5 linked regions of the Danio rerio genome follow. The protein of the gene in region 1 interacts with the protein of each later gene in a pairwise test. Links are inferred from orthologs where the notes say so. Each region holds a gene or a part of one and is shown on either strand. Other genes may lie near its edges.

What was found.
Region 2: the proteins of tmem79b (region 1) and tnmd interact in binary tests that used the Homo sapiens proteins (3 or more experiments, as listed by UniProt). The two-hybrid records come from large-scale screens. The link is inferred for Danio rerio from reciprocal best matches to the Homo sapiens genes TMEM79 and TNMD.
Region 3: the proteins of tmem79b (region 1) and sln interact in binary tests that used the Homo sapiens proteins (3 or more experiments, as listed by UniProt). The two-hybrid records come from large-scale screens. The link is inferred for Danio rerio from reciprocal best matches to the Homo sapiens genes TMEM79 and SLN.
Region 4: the proteins of tmem79b (region 1) and sec22a interact in binary tests that used the Homo sapiens proteins (3 or more experiments, as listed by UniProt). The two-hybrid records come from large-scale screens. The link is inferred for Danio rerio from reciprocal best matches to the Homo sapiens genes TMEM79 and SEC22A.
Region 5: the proteins of tmem79b (region 1) and plp2b interact in binary tests that used the Homo sapiens proteins (3 or more experiments, as listed by UniProt). The two-hybrid records come from large-scale screens. The link is inferred for Danio rerio from reciprocal best matches to the Homo sapiens genes TMEM79 and PLP2.

What each region holds. Positions count from the first base shown.
Region 1 is NC_133191.1:33,472,924-33,476,444, forward strand, and holds part of tmem79b (transmembrane protein 79), read left to right. Parts: coding exon 1-190; intron 191-2,546; coding exon 2,547-2,741; intron 2,742-2,872; coding exon 2,873-3,095; exon of another isoform or gene 3,096-3,521.
Region 2 is NC_133189.1:45,246,042-45,249,562, reverse strand, and holds part of tnmd (tenomodulin), read right to left. Parts: intron 1,281-3,521; coding exon 1,140-1,280; intron 1-1,139. UniProt on the Homo sapiens protein: May be an angiogenesis inhibitor.
Region 3 is NC_133190.1:51,382,747-51,386,562, forward strand, and holds sln (sarcolipin), read left to right. Parts: upstream 1-1,406; 5' UTR 1,407-1,456; intron 1,457-2,960; 5' UTR 2,961-2,993; coding exon 2,994-3,095; 3' UTR 3,096-3,303; downstream 3,304-3,816. UniProt on the Homo sapiens protein: Reversibly inhibits the activity of ATP2A1/SERCA1 and ATP2A2/SERCA2 in sarcoplasmic reticulum by decreasing the apparent affinity of the ATPase for Ca(2+). Also inhibits the activity of ATP2A3/SERCA3.
Region 4 is NC_133184.1:39,568,743-39,572,263, forward strand, and holds part of sec22a (vesicle-trafficking protein SEC22a), read left to right. Parts: coding exon 1-5; intron 6-172; coding exon 173-291; intron 292-669; coding exon 670-735; intron 736-3,145; coding exon 3,146-3,346; 3' UTR 3,347-3,521. UniProt on the Homo sapiens protein: May be involved in vesicle transport between the ER and the Golgi complex.
Region 5 is NC_133183.1:59,091,820-59,095,340, reverse strand, and holds part of plp2b (proteolipid protein 2b), read left to right. Parts: intron 1-3,325; coding exon 3,326-3,481; intron 3,482-3,521. UniProt on the Homo sapiens protein: May play a role in cell differentiation in the intestinal epithelium.

The sequences.
Region 1 (3,521 bases):
GAGAACGCAGCTCGAGTCTTCAGCCCCAGCATCACCATCCTGCGCTCCACCAGTCAGCAGGAGGCTGCAGAACACTGGAGAGATCAAGAAGAGGAAGCGAGAAGCCCCTTCCTTGGGTCACATGGGACACATGGCACACCGCTAGAAGAGTATTACCAGGACTGGCCGGATACACACAGATCACACTGCTGTAAGCTCATTAATGTTTTATAGGGCTGCACAAAATTAATTATTTTTATTTTTTTCTGCGATATACATTGCGTTATGAATACATTTTAAGTAGAAGTGTTGAATAACTATTTGGAAAGAATTTATCATTTTATATTGGTTGGGATGATTATGTGGGTGAGTGCATATGCATAAAATAAAAGAAACAACCTACAGGCATAGACAAATTCAATCTGCTTGTTAAGTGCGACGTCACATGAAGCGGCTTCCGAGTAGCTATATCAAGCTGTATAGGGAGACTCATAAACTGTAATAATAAACTTTTACCAAGCACCGTATTTCAAAAATCACAATTGCAATATATATATATATATATATATATATATATATATATATATATATATATATATATATATATATATATATATATATATATATATATACAGTTGAAGTCAGAATAATTAGCCCTGTTTTTTTTTTCCCTAATTTCTACACACATTTCTAAACATAATAGTTTTAATAACTCATTTGTAATAACTGATTTATTTTATCTTTTCCATGATGACAGTAAATAATATGTTATTAGATATTTTTCAAGACACTTCTATACAGCTTAAAGTGACATTTAAAGGCTTAACTAGGTTAATTAGGTTAACTAGGCAGGTTAAGGTAATTCGGCAGGTTATTGTATAACAATGGTTTGTTCTGTAGACTATCGAAAATAAATATAGCTTAAAAGGAGCTAAGAATTTTGACCTTAAAATGTTTTTTATAATATTAAAAACTGCTTTTTCTCAAATAAGTAGCAGCTTGGGCCCAGAAACGGTATTACATAGGTCACCGATATGACATCATGACCTAAGTAGCAGAAAAAGATACAAAGTAAATAAACAGCCTTTTGATTGTTTTCCTGAGGAGTCTAACTGTATTCAGGTATACAGTAGTTGGATAATCAAATGTAAAATAATACTCCATAGTCTTTGTTTATAAACAATTAAATCGGTACAATTTTTTAGGCCTGAATGCTTTTAAATCCCTCACACAGTCACAGGCCTCAAAAAGCACTTTTATTATTATATTATTTATTTTATTATATAATATAATTATAATCCAGACTTAGTATTTCGTATACTCGTGACTATTGTGAATGATCACATTGCGATATCGATGCTGAAACAATATATTGTGCAGCCCTAAGCAGTACCATATTTATTAACTGATTATAAATGTTTTTAGAGATGCAAAGATATTTCTAGCCCTGCAATATACATTACAATATAAATTGACAATATAAATTACATTTGCCATCATCTAGCAGTCATTTAAAACTAAAAAAGTAATTAATAATAATTTAAAATGATATTAATTTAAACTGTACATTTATAATAATATGTTGCTTAAAATCACTTTCCTAAAATCATATTGAAAATATCTGGCTTGGGTTTCCATTTTAGCTTTATTTTTGTGTTAATGTTGTAGATAATAATGTAGAATTTTAATATTCATTCATTCATTTATTCATGTACATTTATTCATGTAGTTTATGTAAAAATGTATATAAAATTCACTTTAATGTGCATTTTGCGTTGACTTAGTCTCTATTTCAGAGGTTGCGACAGCGAAATGAACTGCCTACTATTTCAGCATATGTTTTACACAGCGGATGCCCTTTCAGCCACAACCCAGTATTGGGAAACACCCATACACACACACACACACACACACACACACACTCATATACACTCATACACTATTGCTAATTAAGTTTATTAAATCCACCTTTACTGCATGTATTTGGACTGTGGGGGAAACCGGAGCACCAGGAGGAATCCCGTGCAAACACAGAAATGCCAACTGGCACAGCTGAGACTCAAACCAGTGACCTTCTTGCTGTGAGCCACCGTGCCACCCAATTTTTATAATCCTTAACTTATTTACGGGCATAGAACACATAGTTACTTTATTGGCATTTTTTAAATATAATTTTTTCAGTAACACTCCAGGGTTTTTCCAATGGGTATTTCATTGAGAACATTATAAAGGGTTCAAATGCAATGTAAAAGATTGTATGACAAACATAATTCAACTTTTTCATTCTTATTAGTCCTAATTAGGGCATTTCAATTTGGAGCTGCATAACTGAGATTTTGACTTGATGCTTAAAAGATTTTCCTATGCAAATATTTTAATCGATTGAATTTAGGAACGCAAATTCAGTGTCTAGACTAGCTGCAAGTGAATTCTATGATATACAAATACAATACTAGGCAATCTGAAAATCTTGTTAATGTGACCACCTCTTTATACAAAATGAAAAAGGACCAACACTGTGAACTCACCGCCATGATGAATTTATGAAATCTTTTTTTTTCTTTCAGGTAACTGTGGTTGCTGTAACCGTGATGCTCTTAAACTGGGAGCTTCCATGTTCACTTCAGCTTTGATCTTCCCCTTGTTGGTGTGGGGTGGCTATGTTTTCCTGCCCTTTGATGCTCCTCTACTGGACAGTGCCCCCCTAAGGCTGGTCTACACCCTGCGCTGCTCAGTTTTTGCAGTCATACCAATTGTTCTTGGTGAGTAAGAAGGGAAATGAGGCTTGAGTTCTTACATTGAAAAATACAGCGTGTCTTTTAGTGTGCAAACAGAGCTGAATCATTAAATCACAGGTAACCATTGTTCTCTTTTTTTTCTTTTTAAATCTTAGGTATGTTGGTTCTTGGCGTGTCCCGTCTGTGGTATCGCTCCTTGAAACCGCGGTTTGAAGGGGAGAAGGAAGTTAAGCAGGTTGCTGTTCATCAGCGTTATGTGGAGGACTCCATCTCGCTTTTCCTGCTTTACTTTCTCCAACTGACTGTCATGGCTGCCTACCTGAATCAGGATCTGCTTAAACTTATTCCCCTCCTCACCATTGTTTTTGCCTTTGGCAGGTACTGTACTGAATCCACATGAGAATTATAGAATGGAATGTCTGATTTAGGAACTGTCGTTAACACTCCATAAACGTTCTCAGAACTTCAGCAAATATTCTGGAAAGTTTCTCTCAAAGCAAACATTCTTTAAAATACATTAATAGAATGTTCTGCGTTTTAGAGTAGTTTATCTAAACCAGGGTTAGGCATAAATACATTTAAATGTATTTTAAAATAAAATACCTAATACCTTAAGTTTAAGTGAATTGAAATAAACTACAGAATACAGCAGTCACAAAATGTATCAAAAGAAAATACAGTATTTGTCTATTATAAAAATACTACAAAATACCTTTAAAAAAGGAGCATGACATCAGTCTCTTTACTATTAAACTGACTCCTCAATACTCTCAATCATTTCTGAAAACTTCCAAAAATTTGTCA
Region 2 (3,521 bases), on another chromosome or scaffold:
TTTCCACAGCAGTTTATGCAAAGCTAGACACAGGAGACCGCTTTGCTTCTCCCTGCTGCCACATGGAGGGATTGGCAAAGACAATCTCCTGCTCTATTGATGTATTGACTTCTAATTAGTTTGTCAGGCGCTGTACCTTTTAAGATCACAGGAATAATTGATGATGTCTTACCTAGCCAAACAAGGAAAGCCAGAAACATTTAATATTTGGTCAAGTCTAAATAACAGTAGGCGGGGCTTATGAAATATGCAGTGTTGGTTTGAAATATTCATATATACGCTGCAAATTTGTGATGCCCGGAGCTGCAATAGTTGCACATTCAGGTTTCATTGTTGATGTCAGCACTTGAGACACACTGAGTGTGTGTGTGTGTATGTCTTTTGCTTGGCTAATATTTCCCCCTGACTGCTGTTGAGAAGAGACCCCCTAACAGTCAGGACCATCATTGTGTTTTAAAGCACCATTATCCTGCTCGTTGCTGGATATCAGCGGCTGCTCGGGCCTTAAGTAAGCCGAGCGCAGCAGTTCGAGAGTGTGAGCACTCGCTCTCCATCTCCACAGCCCAAACTTCCAGTGTCATTAAGCCCATTACATGCCCTGTGAGAATCTGCAGCTCAAACTGATGAGTCCTCAAGCAGGAGCGTGAAATATCTGATGCAGAAATTAGACTGGAGCTTCAGCAAATGCGTTCAAAGAATTGGCTGTTAAATGAGTTGCATCCTCTGGGAGATTGTATGCATAGCGTCGTACACCCAAGCATAAGGTTTGCCTGTCTGTTGACACTCGCCTATTGGCAATTACTTACACGCTGTCCATTTCTGGGTATCAACAAGAATTGAGGAGCTATAATGAATAATATCTGTGTTTTGCAGTTCCGATTATTGTAGCAATCTTATTATGAAATGCACACTATGTATTTATCTGTTCATTCTGGCGTTTTCTCAGCTCTGTGATGTTATTGTTTATGCCAAGGAAATCAAGATTGGATTCAGTCAGTTCCAAGAATACTAAACAGCTTGTGCAGATGTTTCTGTGTCTTTCATTTCCATCCCACGATTGTTATTCTAATCATTTGCTAATTAATCCACAGCCATGCACTGTTCTCTTGGTCCCCAAAATGGATTTGGATTTCTCTTACCTTCCCGAGGTTTGGGCTCCATATATATCTGAGACTGAAGATGCAGAGGGCCAGAATCAGGAACACCACACTCAGAATGATGGCGGCACACTGGTAAGTGCGATACCTGGCCTTTCTGTCCTTCTCCTTCCCCAGCTCAACCTACAGAAACATTAACATTATTGTACATATTTATATATATATATATATATATATATATATATATATATATATATATATATATATATATATATGGTGTGATTTCCGACGTTGAACGTATTGCAGCACAATGCTCAACTGACGAAGAAATAATCACACGGGCAATTTGAATTCTTCTGAGATCAGAACAAAAGGTCACATTTATTAAAATTGTCCCAAATTAAAAGTTCGTCTGTTCGATTAAATTCCCGGAGCTTACGGCCGCAAATTAATAAAGGGAGGCTTTTGTTCCACCCGAGTTCCAGCAGGGAGAGTCTAAAAGCTTACTATTCACAGTGGTGTGCTCTGCTATCTCTCAGGACTTGGCCAATCACAAACGTGAAATATGGAGGAACAAGCTTCAATTAGCAAATGTCTCTAGCCGAAACAGAAGCTTAAAGAACAGAAATAGCAGTGGTGACCAGGGATGATTCTGAGTTCAGTGGGTAATCAGAACCTTTAGTCCAGACCTCTGTCAATGCTTTGATGAAATATTGACTTATGTGCTTCATAACTGGGGTGCATCATTCTGATTTTAATAAACAGTACTATAGGTGATTCTGATACACATATCAATATTTACTTATTTGCATTTACCTACTGTTTTGATGTTTAATTCATTTATTTTCTTTCGGCTTAGTCTCTTTATTAATCCGGGGTCGCCACAGCGGAATGAACCGCCAACTTATCCAGCATGTGTTTTACGCAGCGGATGCCCTTCCAGCCGCAACCCATCTCTGGAAAACACTTTTGATGTTATAAATTGGCTAAATTCTAAATAATTTAAAGCATGATGGCTAGTTTCTTTCTGTATCCTGATACAGTTTTATTTGGCAAGTATTACATGTTATTATTATGATGTTAGATTTATAAGTCAGGGCCATGCAGCTAATCTGTTTATTTGAAGAGTCTGGAAGCAAACATGCAAGTGCCTTCTGAAATATTCTTCTAAAATGTGACTTTTTTAAGGCTCATGTATGTATGTTCAGTAATTTCACCATTCATTCATTTTCTTTTCGCATTAGTCCTTTTATTTATCAGGGGTCGCCACAGCGGAATGAACCGACAAATTATCCAGCATATGTTTTTACGCAGCGGATGTCCTTCTAGCCGCAACCCAACACCGGGAAACACCCATACACTCCTGCATTTACACACATACACTACAGCCAATTAAATTTATTCAATTCACCTATAGTACATGTCTTTGGACTGTGGGGGAAACCGGAGCACCCGGAGGAAACCCACACAAACAGCCGAGGCTTGAGCCAGAAACCTTCTTGCTTTGAGGTGATCCCACTTTGCCACTGTGATGCCCCTAATTTCAGTATTATGGAATAGAATAGGTTATTTTTGATTGCCTTTAAAGTCAAAGTAAATGGGTAAAGTAAAGGGTGTGTACATGAGACAGAATTGTCATTTTTGGGTGAACTATTGCTTTAATAAGATAATCAGTTTGAATGTTAGCTCATGGTAGTTATTGACACTTTGTTCAGAAAGCATGCATTTGCATATTTGTGTTACTTCAGCAACTTTACAAGCTAGCAGGCTATTAGTATTAACATTTCTGATATATGCAAAAATAGTTTTTGTATCATTAGCCTACAGTAAGTTTGGGAGGTTTGTTGCATTATTCTTTAATAAAATAGTTTGTCGCTGCAAATGCCCAGGCAATTTCCCCCAAAATCCCTTAAGCACTGCAATACTCTTCTTTGTTTTCAGAGTTATGTCTCTGAAATATTCTCTTTTTTTGCCAAGATATCTGCATAGACCAAAGTCAACGCAGTTTCCTCTGATTACTTTGGTGTTTTCTGTAGAGCGGAAAGCAGCGTCATCATTTCTTTTGCTTTGTGACAGAATAAATAACAAAATGCGGCAGACTTTATGCAAAATAGTCAAAATGTGGCTTGTGAGACAACGTCTGATTTATAGTGCAGCCTGCAGCTCTGAATAATTTTATTTATGACAAAAAAGTGACAAGGTGATAAAAAACATACAGGGCTTAAGTCCCAAAAGCCCACCCTAATGCCGCCATTGGTGGCGATTCCTGCAATCATACTTTATCTCACAGTGTGAGACACGAATCAGACAATGTCATTGGGGATATTTGGAAACCATTTCAAAAACTATAATAAATGCAAGCAGCATGTCTACTTTAATCTTTCATATAACTTTAGTGACAATGACATGTCAAAATATGGCTGA
Region 3 (3,816 bases), on another chromosome or scaffold:
GTTTACAAATTACGTAGCAAAGTTTGTAGTCGGTAATGTAATCTGTTAGACTGAACACTTATGGTAATGTAATCGGACTACTTTTGGATTACATTTATGCTAACGTAATCTAACTGCTTTTGTGTGACATTTAGATTACTTTGATTACACAATTATGGTAATGTAATCTCACTACTTATGGATTACTTTTAGATTACTTTTATTACACTATTATGATAATGTAATCTGACTACATTTGGAGTACATTTATTACACATTTATGTTAATATACTCTCACTACTTTTGGATTACATTTAGATTATGTTCGTTATACATTTATGGTAATGTAATCTCACTACTTTCGGATTACTTGTTTACACATTCATGGTAATGTATTCTCACTACTTATGGGTTACATTTAGATTATTTTTATTACAATATTATGGTAATATAATCTATTACTTTTGGATTACATTTAGATTACTTTTATTACATGTATGCTAATGTAATCTGACTACATTTGGATTGTTTTAACATTATTTTTATTACTCATTTATTTTAATCTGATCTTACTACTTTTGGATTAAATTTATGCTAATGTAATCTTACTCCTTTTGGATTACATTTAGATTACTTTTATCACATTTATGCTGTATACAATAAAAACAGGTTAAAAATCCAAGTACTGAGGCACCAATGTAAAACCAGCTCTCCATATTGTTAATTAAAAGCTTGGCCAAAAATATTTGTCTTTAAATGTTCTTTAATAAGTTTAACTGATCCCAGAGGTGTTATATTATTATGAATTAGTTACTTATAATTAAATTTTTAAATATGACATTGTTACATGTATTTCATTAAAGCCTAGTCCTGATTACAGTATTGAAAAGTTGAGAGTAATTTCATCATGACATCAAATATTTCATCTAAACAATAAGTGCAAATGACAATATATGCAAAATTGTCAACAATATATTGCCATTTCCCAGTGATGGGCATCCGCTGTGTAAAACATATGCTGGAATAGTAGGTGGTTCATTCCAACGTGATGATCCCTGATTAATTTTGGGGACAACTTGTTTAATCCACTCAAATTTGTATTAGCTAATAAGTTAACTTAATTCCTTCATGTTGTCCCAACACAAATTGTGTGTAACCCAACATTTTTAGCATGTAATTTAGAGTGATTACAAATACTTGATTTTGTAATCCAGATTACATATAACCCACTACTCTCCTGTTACTTCCACCAGAAGACAATAGAGCCGCAGAATAACCCTGATCCACAGAGACTCTCATATCTCAGTCAATCCCTCAATAAACCCAGCAGCTGATGTTAAATACCTGTGACATCACCATCCTCTGGTCCAATCCACTCGTTTCTGTCCAGCACCACTGCTTTAAGAGCCCAGAGATGTAGAAAAAGCACACAGAGACTTTAAAATCATCTGAAACACACAGAGACGACGCAGAGCAGGTAAGAAGATCCACACCATTCACCACAGCGACTCACTGAATCACCTGCAGAGAGATTCATTCAGTGCTTTGAGTGTTTAAATGCATCTTGGAATTCCAGACGACTCACCTGAACGAATCAATACATCACATCACACAAAACACTCTTTCTTTGATCAAACATGTTTAGAATGCTCTTTATGAACAAGTGTGCTTAGTTTGATTTAGTGTTGAAGTTTTTAAATCATTTGGAGATGAGTTTAAATAGGAAAAAACTACCAAATTAATGAATACCATAGTAATTACTATAGTTTTTGAACTGTGCTATTGTAAACAGTAAAGTATAATACTTGTGGTGATTGTACAGTTGCTTTGATAACACAACTATAGTAACAAATCTGTTATGGTGATTCTACAGTTGCTATGGTAACACAACAGCTATAGTAACAAATCTGTCATGATGATTCTACAGTTGCTATGGTAATACAACTATAGTTACAAATCTGTTGTGGTGATGCTACAGTTGATATGGTAGCACATCAACTATAGTAACAAATCTGTTGTTGTGATTCTACAGTTGCTATGGTAACACAACAACAATAATAACAAATCTATTGTGGTGACTCTATAGTTGCTATGGTAACAACAAGACTAGTAACAAATCTGTCGTGATGATTCTACAGTTGCTATGGTAACAGCAACTATAGTAACAAATCTGTTGTGATGATTCTATAGTTGCTATGGTAACACTACACCTATAGTAACAAATCTTTTGAGGTGATTCTATAGTTTCTATGGTAACACAACAACTACAGTAATGAATCTGTTGTGGTGATTCTATAGTTGCTATGGTAACAAAACAACTATAGTAACGAATCTGTTGTGGTGATTCTATAGTTGCTATGGTAACACAACAGCTATAGTAACAAATCTGTTGAGGTGATTCTATAGTTGCTATGGTAACACAACAGCTATAGTAGCAAATCTGTTGTGGGGATTTTTACAGTTGCTATGGTAACACAACAACTATAGCAATGTAAACAAATGATTACCTTTTGTGTACAAGTAGATTTCTACAACTATAGAGTACACTATACTACAACATACCAGTTTACTGTAGTAAAAACTAAGGTAAACTACAGTACTTATTACAGTTTCATTATAGTTAATACTACAGTATGCTGGTGAATGAGTTAAAGCATTGTCGATACAGTACTATAATATAAACAGTCTAATAGACTTGACTATAATATATTCTAAAAGCACAACAGTATTTACAATAAATTACTATTGTTTTTTTCGTGTGTGTGTGTGTGTGTGAATGTGTGAGTTCTGTATGTGTGTGTGTGTGTGTGTGTGACAATAGCTAACCTGATGATGGAATTGTGTTTGAAACTCAAGCCTAGAACAGACAGATGATCGGCTTAATTTCCTAGTGGCCGACATACTGCTCTATTTTTCCATCTCTATCCCTCTCTCTCTGCGTGTGTGTATGTGTGTGTGTGTGTGTGTCTGTGTCCCTGAAGGTTGATCTCGTGCTCCAGCTGCTGTGTGTCTGCATGATGGAGCGATCCACACAGGAGCTCTTCCTGAACTTCATGATTGTTCTGATCACCGTTCTGCTGATGTGGTTACTGGTCAAGCAGTATCAGGACTCATGAGGGAGAGAAGAGCCTGCATCTTCATCATCATCTTCATCTGTGAGGACGGTCTTGCAGGAGCTCACAGTCCAGATGATCCAACAGTTTGTGTTCATGGATTGTGGTCATAATGATCTGAAGGTCAAACACTCATCCTGCCAGACAAAAGAGTCCAGATGTCCTGATTTAGGACAGATTTATTTGCATCAATAAACTCTTTGGCAATGCACCGGCATGTGGTTGTGTTTTACAGCATGCACTTACACAAATACACATTCCAACAATGCCGAATTTCAATCGGAAATGACTAATACCGATCAGAACTCACTGATCACCTCATCAACACATTTATAGAGTGAAGGTCTACTTTAGTGAGCGCTGCCTTGCGGTTCCATCGCAGAGAGGCTATAAGTCACTTTCCAGAACCTTCTCAGTCACTGTTCCTCACTGGTCAAATCGGACAGAGCGTTAGTGAATAACTATTGATTGTTTTTCTTTTAACGTTTCACTGAAACATCTTATCCCTGTCTCTTTTAATCTTGTTTATGTAAAGCACTTTGAATCGCCACTCTGTATGAAATAAACTTGCCTTGCCGCGTTCATACCAAGCATGAAGATATCGATGAATATATGGTTCTAAAGATTGTCCACAGTGTTAAAGAATATTATGGTTCACACCGCAACTACAACGATAAAGATACAGAGGATCCTTTTTGTTTTTATTCCACTGCACTGACTATGA
Region 4 (3,521 bases), on another chromosome or scaffold:
CATAGGTAGGGAACACGATGCACATACTTCTTTTTGTTCTCAAGAAGGAAGTACAGAGCAGCCCTAGCATCATGCCATAAAGTTTTGATCAGCAGGTTTCCTTCAGCAGGCTTTTAAAATCTAGTTATTTTGCTAGTGCTTGACAGATTCTGTGCTTGATTTATTCCTGCAGCTCCTAATCAAATGTTGGAGGCTGTCACCCTGTCGGGTATTGTCGCCTGTGTCCTAAGCATCCTGTGTGGCGCTCTAAATTTACTGCGGGGAGTCCATGCGATTGAAAGCGTATTGCAGGTAAGTTACAGTAAATCATGCATTAATAGAAATGCTGCTGCTTCGTTTTTAAGCTTTGTGTCTTTTATTGATGAACGCATTGGACTCGACATTACTCTTAAATGCATAAGTGCCGTCGTAATAAAATAAATCTCAACTAATGGATGGTAACAGTACACTTGAATAATTTGTCCGAGTTTGCATTTAGATGTAATGTGATTTTTCCCTCTTCCATAAACAGAACAGTTTTTGCTTGGCTTTGAATATTGTGCTGATAAGTGAGCCCTCGAGTCCTGACACTTAATTCATCCTCCGTATTAGCACATGGCTTCCTGGTGTAATTTGTTCACTATTTAACGCAGCAACCCTGTCTTTCCTCTTTTTCTGCTTCATCTGCAGAACGACGATGAAGACTTTAATTACGTAATTGCTTTTTTCCTTGGAACCGCAGCGTGTTTGTATCAGGTAAGTGACGGCGGTCGGAGCGTGAGTTACTATCGGCCTGCCAGGCTTTATTTTCTATGTACGCCATTTCGGCCTGACCAACCAATGCTTATATATCACACTTTTTCCTCACTGTCATGTAAAAGAGTAGCTTCTGGAAATTAGGAAAATGTTTCCTTTTAACTTGCATCGAATCTGCTGGTATTGTGGATGCTTCTTTAGAATAAGAATCATTCAGTGACATATTAAAAGACTTTATTTAAGTAGATAGTTGATTTAAAAATGACCTTTTACCTCAACATTTACTCGTCCTCATGTGGTTTGAAAATTTAACGAGTTTTTTTGTTCTTTTCAACACATTCATTTTCCTTTAGTTTTGTCCCTTTATTCATCAGGGGTTACCACAGCGAAATTAACTGCCAACTTATCCAGCATATGTTTTACACAGTGGATGTTTTACACAGTCCGGCTGCAACCCAGTACTGGGAAACACCCATACACACTCATCCACACACATCCACTATGAACAATTTAGTTTATTAAATTCACCTGTACCGCATGTCGTTAGACTGTGAAGAAATCCAATGCACCTGAAAAAAACCTACACGCACACGGGTGCCCAGTCTCGAAAATAGAGTTAAACCCAGCCCAGACTCGAATCAGCAACCTTCTAGCTGTAAGGCGACATTACTAACCACTGTCGCCCCTTTTTATAACACAAATTAAGATATGTTGAATAATGCTGGGAACCATTCACTTTTCCTACTATGAAGTTAATGGGTCCCAGCAACCAGCATTATTCAAAATCACTTATTTTGTGTTCAACTGTAGTAAGAAACCTAAACAGGTTTTGAGCAAATGAAGGATGAGTAAATGATCACAAATGATGTCTTCAGAAAACAGAATCACACTAGTACTTCATTTGGTCAAAAGTGACTAAAGACCACACATGTAACTTTTACACCATTAAAAACAATAGGATATTTACAATAATTATTATTTAAAAGGTTTTGAATCAGTGCAGTATTTTGTAATTAGAAAAAGAAAAACCCGTTCACTGCTGTATATTTTTTCAGCCTTGTGGCTGATTTGTAGATTGTACACACACAAATTCTCACAAGTGTAGTTTTTTTTCTAAATTATCAATTCATTTCTTATGGGGAGTCCTCTTTGACCAAAAGAATACAAGTTTGACTTTTTATGCCACTTCGCCAGCTTGAATCTTGCCCCAATTTTTTATATACATTGCAAAAACTTAGTTTTGCATAATTGTGATGAAGCTGTAATAAAAAAAAAATTCAACATTTTCCTACGGGACCAACAGGTTTAAGTATCACAGCACAGCCCCAAAATAATAATTTCTTCTTTAAGAAAAAGTCAGAATAAGCCAATTAATAAATTTTTACATTTAATATGTTCATTAAACTGATGACAGTGGAACTTTGTCACCTGTATTTTGTCTTTTTTTCACAAAAATGAATTTAAAACATTAATACAGATAACATACTTGCATTAAATACTTTTCATTCATTCACTTTCCTTCAGCTTAGTCCCTTTATTTATCAGGGGTCACCACTGTGGAATGAACCGCCAACTTATCCAACATATGTTTTACACAGAGGATGCCCTTCCAGCTGCAACCCAGTACTGGGAAACATCCATACACACTCATTTACACACACTTATACACTACGGCCAATTTTATTTACCCAATTCACCTATATTCTGTCTTTGAACTGAGGGAAACTGAAGCACCCAGAGAAAACCCACACAAACACGGGGAGAACATGCAAACACAGAAACACCAACTGACTTTGAAATGCCAAATGTGACTTTCACCATTAAAAACAATGGGATTTTTACAAATTATTATTATTGAAAATATTTTTTTTTAATTAGTGCCGTGTTTGTAATTAGAATAGAGAGGCAGATTAGCACAATCTGGTTTAAAAAAAAAAAGAAGAAAACCCCTTCACTGCTGTATATGCTCAGAAATATAGTTTTAATTTTTGTAAATTCCATATTTATTTCCTATGGTCAATCATCTTTGACCAAAATAATACATGTGTGACTTTATTTATGCCCACTTTGCCCGCTTGAATCTTGCCCCCAGTTTTTGTATGTATATATTGCAATAGCTTACAAAGTTTCTTACAATTCCGATGAAGCTGTTACTTAAAAAAATTCAAGGAGACCCCGGGGGGTTAAGGATCACAGCACAGCCCCAAAATAATAATAGTTAACTGTTAGCAATTCTTGTATTAAAACAGATAATATACTTGCATTTAATACTTTTGCTTATATAAAGTGCTTTTATAAAGAAAGTGATGTGACAAAAAACAAGACGACTTGACTTTGACTATCAAAAATTGTAATATTGTTCAAATCTTATTCAAATGTTTTCCTCGTGTCTCTCTGTCTCTATACGCAGTGTTACTTATTCGCCTACTTCTCATTCTGGAGAAACATCAAGTCATTCCTGGCCTTCGCTCTGATCTGCCTGTGTAATATGTATCTGTATGAACTCCGGAACCTGTGGCAGATCCTCTTTCACGTGACAGTGGGAGCGTTCATCACTCTGCAGATCCACCTGAGACGACCGCAGGGCAAAGCACCTGACTATAATGTTTGACCCCCTTGAACTCTTCAAGACTGTGTAATATAGCCCAACATGGCAACTATGAATCTCTTCCCGGCCCGTTTGAGGACTTACAGTATGGATTTTGAAAAAGGTTTACAAACGGTTTTGAAAAATGTCCTGCTGTTCCACATTTAGCTACTGTTCTGGTTAAAGCAGAAGGTTCATG
Region 5 (3,521 bases), on another chromosome or scaffold:
TATATGACAAAAGGTCACTACAACTAATGTTTAATGTTACTTTAACTTATTTGAATAATAGTAATACAATTTTGCAACTTAATTTAAACTAAAAAGTAAGTTCAACTTAATATGTTTAGTTATTTTCCCAGTGATGTGTTGCAGCTGGAAGGGCATAGGCTGGGTAAAACATATGCTGGATAAGTTGGTGGTTCATTCTGCTGTGGCGACCCCAGATTAATAAAGGAACTAAGCCGACAAGAAAATGAATGAATGTTTAATTATCATTTTTCAAAATAATGATAATGATATCATTATATGATAATGATCTTTCAGACTCTGATTATAAATAAAACTGAAATAATTCATAATTTTGTTGTGCAGTCCGGTACCAATTGATGTAAGTTAAGCTCCTGTCAGCGATTCCCTCACGCACATTATATGTTAATTAGTAACGCCTACTTGTTTACATCTTGCGGCATACACAAAAAAATTACATTTATTACGGTTAACAATTTATTCCACAGTATTGACCACCCAGCCCTAGTAAACATGTTAAAAAGAATTCAAATATCACATTGTTTTCCTTTCCTTGGAGCTTAAAAACAAACCATGAGCCAGAGATTATCCATGAAGTCTGACGAACAAGAAACAAACTTCTCCTAGTAGACGTTGCTGGCAGTGTTGATTTAGAGTTTAGTGTTGCCTGACAGGATCTGCAAATACATGTATCGACTGTTTGAGTTTAAGCAAGGACTGAGTTGATTTTAACTTCATAATATCCCTGTACTCCCAAATGTATTCTTCATTTATAACCATATAAGGACTTTCTATTGAATGAATTGTGCTGTTTACACTTGTTTTTTCCTCTCTGTAGTGCGTGCCACATGTTTTAGCAATCAGAGCTTCTGAAAACTTTAGAAACTTTAGGGGATGTGTGAAATTCAGAGCTCCACTGTTAACCGACACCTAGAGCAGCTGGGTCCTTCTGAGGGATTGTGAACGGTAGTAAAAAGCTTTGGTGATTTGGCAGCAAACATGAATGACGTACTGTACTTACAAGGGAGAATTTCCACACTAAAAAGCCAAATGAATTGGGGGAAGCACACTGATGCTAAGAAAAGACCAGCAAAATGAGTTCTGTTATATACAGCAGGGAAAATAAGTATTGAACACGTCACCATTTTGCTCAGATAAGATGTTGATATTAGCCAAAGAAATCCATTTATGTAAAGAAAACAAAACTAATTAGTTTAAAAATTCGTAATAAATGAAATGACGCAGAGAAAAAGTATTGAACACATGAAGGAAGGGAGGTGCAGAAAGGCAGTGAAAGCCCAGACAGCAGCTGAAATCTCTCAGTAGTTCTTTAGCAACACTCTGCCCTCTATATAAAGTACACTGTAAAAAAATAAACATAATTTTACAGGTAATTGTCTGCAGTCTAGATTCTAAACCATTATTTTACAGGTAATTGAACCTTACAGAAGGACAACTATCTGTGCAGCAATCCACCAATCAGGCCTGTATGGTACACTCTCAGAAAAAGTGGTACAATGTTGTACCAAAGAAGGTACAAACCCTTGTCTCTGGGGCAGTACCTTTTTATGGGACAGAATTGTACCTCAAGACAAAGAAACAAATTTGTACCATTGCAGTTTGTACCTTTAAGAACATGATGTGTACCAGTTGTTTTGTATTATTGCATTATAGAACTTAATAATTATTGTTTATGAGTTTATTTAAACATATGCTTTTAAATGATGATTCTTGTTTTGATATGGAAATTATTCATAAATCACTTTGCCTCTCCAGTAATATTTATTTTCATAGATATTGTAACAAAGAAGGAGTTGTCCAACACTTATGTACATTCTCAGAAATAAAGGTACAGGAGCTGTCACTGGGGCAGTACCTTTTCAAAAGATACATATTTGTACTCAAAGAGTCTACAGTGGTACCTAAAAGGTGCATATTAGTACCTCTGAAGTACCATTATGGACCCTTCAGGTACAAATATGTACCGTTTGAAAAGGTACTGCCCCAGTGACAGCTCCTGTACCTTTATTTCTGAGAGTGTACCTTTTTATGAGAACAATTATGTACCTTCATTTCAATTGTACCATAAAAGGTACAGAACAGTATCATAAGAGGCCTTTTCTGTACCATATAAGGTACAACTTTTACACGGGTACAAAACTGGCCCTCAAGGAACGTTATTTGTACCACCGTGTACCTTTTTTTCTGAGAGTGTAGAGTGGCCAGACAGAAGCCACTCCCCGCCAGGAATTTGCCAAAAGGCATCTGAAGGACTCTCAGACCATAAAAAACTAAATTTCTTACAAAACTAAATATGAAAAAGGCTAATACCATCCCTACAGTGAAGCATGGTGGTGGCAGCATCATACTGTCGAGATGTTTTTCAGCAGCAGGAACTGAAAGACTAGTCAGGATAGAGGGAAAGATGAATGCAGCAATGTACAGAGACATCCTGAATGAAAACCTGCTTCAGAGTTCTCTTGACCGCAGACTGGGGCGACGGTTCATCTTCCAGCAGGACAATGACCCAAAGCACACCGCCAAAATATTAATGGAGTGGCTTCACAACAACTCAGTGAATGTCCTTGAGTGGCCCAGCCAGAGCCCAGACCTAAATCCTATTGAACATCTCTGGAGAGATCTGAAAATGGCTGTACACCGTCACTTCCCATCCAACCTGATAGAGCTTGAGAGGTACTACAGAGAGGAATGGGCAGAAATTCCCAAAGACAGGTGTGCCAAGCTTGTGGCATCATATTCAACAAGACTTGAGTTTGTAATTACTGCCAAAGGTGCATCAACAGAGTATTTAGAATTTTTTTGTTGTGATTTTTGAGGTTTTTTATTTTTAATAAATTTGCAACAATTTCACAAACTCTTTATTTCACATTGTCATTATGGGGTATTGTGTGTAGAATGTTGAGGAAATAAATGAACTTAATCTATTTTGGAATAAGGCTGTAACATAAACAAATGTGGAAAAAGTGAAGCGCTATCAATACTTTCCAGATGCACTGTATTGCAATGGCAACAAAATGATTGAGATCATCTCCAAGTATTGCACGATAAGTCGATATATTGATTATTGTGGCATACACAATACATAAAAAAACTGATCTGTATGCCAATGTTTGTTTCATTACAGTCTCAATGACAACACTGCAATAAAGAAACAAGCCTTAGGCCTGCACAATGATGTAAATGCAGCAGAGGCTAACAGCTAATGCTAACCATCAAATTTTTGACTTGCTGATCAAAATGTTCACATCCATACTGATGTAAATGCTTGTTTTCTGTTTGTCTGTAGCTCCTCAGTTTCATCATCCTGATCTGTTATGCCGCATCGATGTACGGAGGGTATACAGCGGTCGCCATCTGCGAGATGGTCTTTGCCATCATCTTCTTCGTTGTCTATATGCTGGAGCTGGACAAACAGTTCCTGGTGGTGAACTGGCTCTGGAGCGTAAGTAAATGCACACACACTAGCATCATGGTGGTGAGTC